Yarrowia lipolytica: one gene and its partner. The protein of the gene in region 2 purifies or fractionates together with the protein of the main gene of each other region. This does not show direct contact. Links are inferred from orthologs where the notes say so. Each region holds a gene or a part of one and is shown on either strand. Other genes may lie near its edges.

Region 1 (3,085 bases), on a different chromosome or scaffold from region 2:
AGTATCTGTGGACCCACCACTACTCGCCCTTCATGCTGATCCGACAGGCTCCTCCGGGAGTAGGAGTGCGTCTCATGTCAGCCTGGTCTTTGTGGCGATTCCAGGATCTCAGCGAAGAGGATCGAATGAAACTCCATCTGTACTCCTACAAGCTCATGGACAGCAAGGCGTCTGGAGAGCTGGCTCTGACTCGGCTTCTCAAGCCTGTAGCACTGGCTAGAATGCCTCTACTGGATCGCCTTGACAAAATCAAGTGTCCCACCATGTGGATGTACGGAGAGAAGGACTGGATGAATGCCGAGGCAGGAGCCGAGGCCACCCAGACTCTCAACCGAAACGCCAGCAATGAAAACAACACCCAGAGCGTGTTCAAGCTGGTCAAGAGAGCAGGTCACCATATTTATCTTGATAACACCCGAGCGTTTAACTCTCTGATTGTCGACTTTATGACCCGATAGAGTACATACTGTACAGAATGTACACTCACCACGCCACGCTAACTAGAACCCCTGACAGCTTCACAGTATATTATATAGATTAGAATACACAGATTAACACGAGGAATAGTAATAAACATCCCCAGATCCACTATGGTACTTGTACATCACCATATCTTACACGTCATAATACGCCCCACGGCGGTGAAACACCACACTACACGAAATGCCTCGCACTTGTAACCAATGAACATGTATTTTTATCCCATTAAACCAAAGTCTTGACCTCAAAGAATCGCTTAAGGTAGTAGATCTGGAACAGAGAGTTGACGGCAACAACACCCAGCTGCAGAATGTTCCACCACTTGACTCGGGCGTTTGTGGACTCAGCAGTGTTTCGGTGGGTTCGCTCTCGAACAACAATGTAGCTCTGTTCGTTTCGCACCTCCTGCACAACCTGGTTGAGCTTGGCAATCTCCTGATCCAGAGCGTCGTCGGTCAGCTGGTTGAGATCAATGACAATGACACCATGCACGTTGAAGGTCACATCCTTGGTACCAATGCCGGAGAACTCATTGGAGAAGCAGTACTCGTATCTGCCGGGGACCTGGATGGGCACCTGGACGTCTCCGTCAGGAACCTCGTGCTGCTTGACAACCTGGTTTCCATGGGGGTCGTTGATCTTTGTTAGTTGTATGGCACGATAATTCGACGCGTCACGCGCCGAAAACGATTCAATCCACCATTCCTGCCGTCCCTTTTCATATAATACTCACCACAAAGTCGACAGCAAGCTGTCCACCGGCCTGGGGGTCTCGGTTTCCGACCTGGAAAGACACGGCCAGAGTGTCACCCTTCTTGACATCCTCGTAGAAGCACTGTCGCTTCCAGGGCAGCAGGAGCACGTTGTGAGCGCTGACCACGGAGGCCAGCGCCAGAACCAGAAGACAAACGAGGAACTTCATGTTGTGTTTTGTGTTGGTGTTGGAGGAAGATCAAGGTCGCAGTGCACAGGATACAAATGACACGTTAAAGGATTCCCAAACCTAAAAACGCGAGCAAGCGTAATAGTGAATTTGAGAGTGGAGACTGTGAAGGGGGACAGTACTTGAATACAAGAGCGGAAAATTGCTTAGGACCGGAAAAAACGAGTTATAATCCAATATTTACAAGACAGGCATGTTTTTCTCCAAGAATTTGACAGGTTACGAGTATTATTGAGATCACTTGTACATACTCCTCACCCAGACCAAACCCATACATACCCAATAAGGTGTATAGTATGTACAAGTACAACATAACATAACATATATACCGGCTACGAGTAGCTAGCAATATACAAAATGATCGACTGTGCCGAAAATCCCAATCTCTATCACGCGACATTCCGTGTCTCATTGCGTTTACTGTGCGTACACCCTCCAGAAATCACATTCTCCCAAACCTAACCCAGATTTCACGGGAGTATATACCTCATCGCATGACATCAGCGGTGCACCTCCAGCAGAAGTACAGTACATCACCACCCTAACAAGCACGCAACCATGGGATACGGCGAGAAACTGGCCTTTCGAAACGATCTGGGTGGCAACCACTTCACGCTAGCCCAGCCTCGAGGAGGCAAGGGTCTAGACCCCAGCTTTGTGCCCCGGCAGAAGCCTGGGTTCATCACAAACACCGCCAAACGGGCCATTGCATACATTTTCGTTTTTTCGCTCATTGCCACCGTCATGTTGATGCAAATGCGAGACAACTCTGATCCAAACGAGCCCGAGCTGGCTCTGGTCAAAAAGAAGCCTGCTCCGTTGAGAAAGGACCCTCGAGAGCAGGAGGTTGTGCTGGGGAAGCCCAAGCCCAAGCCCACTGTTGCTGCTAAGAAGGAGGATGCCAAAATCAAGGTGAATGCTCGAAAGGGAGCTCCTGCCGCTGACCCTGCCCAAGTGCCTGAGAAGGCTGAGAAGCCTGCCGCCAACTCCAAGGACACAAAGCCTCTCAAGTCTGAGGCTGGTGGCAAGGCTGTTAAGGCCGACGAGGCTGACGAGGTAAACAAGGCCAAAACCCAAAAGAAGTTGCAGGATCTGGAGGAGGAGCTGGAGGAGCAGGAAGAGGAGGAGGAAGATGACCTTGAAGAGCTTGAGGACTACATGGATGCAGACGATGCCGCTGGGGCCGCTGAGGCTCGAGCTGGGGCTGCCACTGGGGCTGAAGACTCTAACGCCAGCCCCACCGACCTGGCTGAGAAGCTGGGCAAGAAGCGGCCGGCTTCCGATGCCCAGGCCAAGGCTATGGAGGCCAAAAAGGTTGAGGACGCCAAAGCCGCCAAGTTCAAGGATGAGCGTGCCAAGCAGGATAAGGTCAAGGCCCAGCAAAAGCAGGTACGAGATGAAGATAGCGAATACGAGGAGGGAGAAGAGGGAGACGAGGGTGAGGGTGACGAGGAAGAAGAAGAGGAGGAAGAAATTGAGATTGGAGATGCCAAGATTGCCAAGGCCTTGTTGTAATTAGTAATTTATACGTCATATGATAACTACTGTTGTTTTGTGTAGTGTTGTGTCTCTCAGATTGTGTGTGTACATACTGTACAATGCTGCACTCACCTTATGCTGTATCATACTTAGAATTCACGCAAGGTTCGTTTTAGTAGTGCT
Region 2 (4,131 bases):
AATTTTGTGTTTTTCACTTGAGTGATTAGCCGTTCGTCAACATCCACAACAGTAGTCTGAATGGCTCCATTGGATGAACATGAGCGGTTGTTGTTGCTATTTTGAGGTTTTTGACTCGATAAAAAACAACACTGTCAAATCGACCCGCTCATAAGCTGTGTTTTACTGCTCTTGTCCCCATCCAGCAACCGGGCCCCGCCACGTCTGCAGATCTGATAATCCATGGCCTGTTTGGGTGAGTGGTAGTACAGCGCAGATTCAGTTTGGGTCTTGGGTTTTCACCACGTGCTCGTGACGCGCCAATTTTCTTGCTAGCGTCATTTTGGCGAAAATCTGCGAAATTTTGGCAAAATTCAGGGCACTGGTCCTACACGTACAGGTAGCGGTGTTTTTAGTGTCTTGTCAACGTCTGGAACCATCCGTGGAGTCGGATGCACAATAAATAGTGCAGTTTTACGACCCGTGGTGGAGTATTTTGCTAGTATTTTTGGTAGTATTCCCAAGTAGTTTATTGAGGTATTTGTTAAGTTAAAAATTACTCGAGGTTACTCTATAATGTGAAAAACTATCTTGAAAAATTTGTGATCTGACCATTTCTCGGCACTTGTGATTGGCCGATGACGCTTTTTTGAGACATTTGAAAAGGTCGCTTGCTCAGCTTCATTTTGACACCACAATTGACACCACAAATCTGCCCCCCCCCCCCCCACCCCCATTTTTGTACTACCTACAAATGAATGCTGAACCGCTCTTCCGATCTAACTTTTTAGAATGTTAAACAATAACGGCCATGATGGCGATGGCGCCAAACACGACGGAGGCAACCACCTTCTCGGCAGCCAGCGAGGCGCCGGCGCTCTTCTTGTTTCCGCCCTTGGAGGACGAGGCGGCGGCCGAGCCAGAGGCAGCGGCAGCAGCAGAGCCCTTAGCAGAGCCCGAGCCAGAGCCCGAGGATCCGGACGATCCAGAGCCCGAAGATCCAGAGCCGGACGAGCCGGAAGAGCCGGACGAGCCGGAAGAGACAGCAGTGGCCTGGGCGTTCTGGCAGTTGGATCCGGTCTTGGGGCTCTGGACAATGGAGGCCTGGGAAGAAAAGTCGCAGGCCTGAGAGTTGCCGTTCTGGGAGTCGTAGTACTTGCCCATGAGGAAGTTGAGCTTCTGCTTGGCGTCACAGAAGGACAGGTCTCCGTACTTGCCGGAGGTTCCGTTGGACTGGATCTCGGAGCAGTCCACATCGAGGTTACCGCACAGCTCTCCAAAGAGATCGCCGTAGTTCTTGGCGTTAGTGTCCGAGTTGACGACACAAGAAGAGCCATCGTTGATGCACTGACAGGTTCCGACCTTGGGGGTGGGAGGCAGGGTGGGAGAGCCTTTCCAGTTGGCGTTGAAGTCGGGGCACGAGACGCCACCAGCGGTCTGAGAGGGCTTGTAGTCGTTGGTGTTGGCGGAGGAAGGAGAAATCTTAGCCATCTGCGAAGACAGGTTGTTGAAGTCGTCGAGAGTGGAGACGGAGCTTCCGGAAACAGACACCAGACCGTACTGGTTCTGCTCCTCAAAGTACATGTAGACGATTCCTCCGGACCAGACGTCGGTCATGTTGGGGCCAAACAGAACGGGCACGTCGGAGAACTGTCGCGGCTTGACTCGGTTGCAGCCGTACTCGGAGAAGAAGATGGGGATGGTGAAGTTCTTGTACTCCTCGGTTCGCTGCTGGTAACCGGAGGACTCAAAGGTGGCGTCTCCACACCACTCGTAGATGTTGATTCCGTAGAAATCGGCTGCCTCGGAGGCGTTGCCGCACTGGAAATAGGTGGCCAGGTCGTCTCGGGTCTTCTCGTCATCGTTGGTGGCGTATCCGACGGGAATGGATCGGTACGACTTCTCCTTCATGTACGACTTCATGTCTCGGATGGCAGCCTTGACGTAGGGAGACGCATCGGTGTTGGTGTTGTTGTTAGTGACCTCGTTTCCGGCAAAGAAACCCAGCATGTTGGGGTACTTTTGCATGGTGTCCACTACGCTGGTGTATCGCTGGTACAGATCCACGTCCCACGAGGGCGAGTTTCGGTTGATGGACTCGCCGGGCTGTGAGAGATCGGAAATGACGTAGATGCCGGCGTCGTTGAAGAGCTGCATGCATGTGTCGTGGTCCTTGGTGGTGTCGATGGCGTACACTCGAAGCACGTTGGTCTTGAGCTGCACCAGGTAGGGCAGGTCTCGCTTACAGGCGTCGCCGTCCGACAGAGGGTCCGAAAAGGTCTCCTTGGCTGTCTCGTTGGCCGAGTCCTGCTGGTAGGCCACTCCTCGGATGTAGAATTGAGAGCCGTTGTTGGAGTAGAAGAACTTGTTGCCCACAATGTCAATAGAGGGCACGTCTGCTGCTGCCACCAGCGAGGCCAGGGCAGCAGCGATTGAGACCGCTGAGAACTTCATTTTGGAGAGGGGGAGGCAAGAGAAGGTGTATGGGAAGCGGGGTGATAGGAAAAAAGGGAGCCGGCCTGGGCAGAGAAGCCACTATATGTGTTTGTTGTAGACTGGCAATTGGCTTTTTCCACTTTGGGCAACGACAAAGCAAGGCCCCCTCGACTTTTCGCAAACTCTGCTCCTACACTGTGTGGGACGACGCATCTTAGGGCCAACTCTGTTACGCAGCCAAGAGACGGCATCTTCGCCCTTGCACCGGTGGTGTGGAGTGAGGTATTTAGTTTCTTGGGGGTGAAATTCTTGGCGCCAAGCGATGAGCTTGACCGGTCGGGAAAATAATACGACGCGTCGTGGAGTCGGCCTATCTACACCGGGAGAAATCGGCCCGCATCCAAAGCTGGTCCCAGGAGTCAGTTTATTTTTAGCCATCCCTCCCAACCCTCCTGTTTTCACAACACGCCTATTGCAGCTGAACTTTGCGGTTATCGCCCCCAAAGTTGCACGCTTGCCTGTTGGGTGAGCTGACGTGTTTAGGCTCCCGAGTTATTTTTCGGGCCCCAGAGGCTGTGTCTAGGCTGTGCAGATGAAGACCATGACGACGGGCTCTGGGCGATTGGGGACCACGGGGTTGATTTTTCGACTTCCCGTCCGTTTTGGCCGTCTCCTCCAGCTGCTACATGTCCCAATCTCTGTCCACTCGGGCCTCTTTTCCCGGAAATGCACAGGTGCCGTTGCCAAGCCGCCCCGACGTCTGCAACGCCAGAAACAACCGATACGAAGGATATCGACTGAAACCCAGACCAAAGAGGTAATGTAGTTAGGTGGAGAAGACTCAATTGGATGCAAGAGGCTGTAGATAGAGTCCCAGATCACAAGAACATTCATATCGCCGCTCCACCAGTACCAATAGATCCAAACTTGTACGAATACCCATACTCCTGGTCATACTCATACTTGTACTCACACTCACGCTCGTGCTCGTGCTCGTACTGTACAGTGTACTCCTCAAGACATCACTCACCACCAACCCCTCAAGCCTCCCCCTAACTCAACCTCAAACTCAGCTGGTTCAGGGGCACCACGCGTCTCAGGGTCACCGGTGGGGCGGAACGTGTTCCTTGTACGACAATGGTACAAAAGCAGTCTGTCAGTACAAATACATAGTGGGCCACACCAAATGTCATGTTGGTCCACTTACAGCTGGTGTCATCCATTCCATTCCCCTCCACTCCACCCCACTGGGCTGTGCAGTGGAGACTGACAGGAGAACAAAGAAGTGCCAAACAAATGTACTACGGTAGCGTGCTGTCGACAATCACAATACCAGATCTGCACTCTGCTGTGTGATCCACCTCATCTCATCGCAAAAAGAGTTGGTCCATTCAGAGTGCTTTTTTTTTCCTTCTTTCTTTCTCCTTCTCCTTGTATCACAACCGCCCGTCAGAGTTTCCGGGCCGGTTACGTTCAAAAGGGTGACCACGGCGCGCGCGTCGAACGAATCACGTGACTAGAGGTACCGGGGGCTGTCGATACACGTCTCGTCACGTGACTGCTCAACTCGGCTTTATCGTTTCACGCTTTTCCGCTCGCAAAAAGCCTCCTTATGTCCTTTGACACGCACATGAATCACGCGCACAACGTTATGCTTGGACGGCCGACAAGAGTTTGAGTGCTAACAAGGGATGAAGTGTGTTCGTGTCGTGTGTG

Evidence for each region.
Region 1: the proteins of YALI1_D07729g (region 2) and YALI1_E41399g purify together in Saccharomyces cerevisiae (affinity purification with western blotting; 3 studies listed by BioGRID). This does not show direct contact. The link is inferred for Yarrowia lipolytica from reciprocal best matches to the Saccharomyces cerevisiae genes GAS1 and EMP24.

Annotation. Positions count from the first base shown.
Region 1 is NC_090774.1:4,138,241-4,141,325, reverse strand, and holds YALI1_E41399g (uncharacterized protein), read right to left. Parts: upstream 1,403-3,085; coding exon 1,214-1,402; intron 1,120-1,213; coding exon 706-1,119; downstream 1-705. Other genes in the region: YALI1_E41421g (uncharacterized protein), read left to right, coding at 1-458; YALI1_E41393g (uncharacterized protein), read left to right, coding at 1,982-2,938. UniProt on the Saccharomyces cerevisiae protein: Constituent of COPII-coated endoplasmic reticulum-derived transport vesicles. Required for efficient transport of a subset of secretory proteins to the Golgi.
Region 2 is NC_090773.1:770,534-774,664, forward strand, and holds YALI1_D07729g (uncharacterized protein), read right to left. Parts: upstream 2,434-4,131; coding exon 775-2,433; downstream 1-774.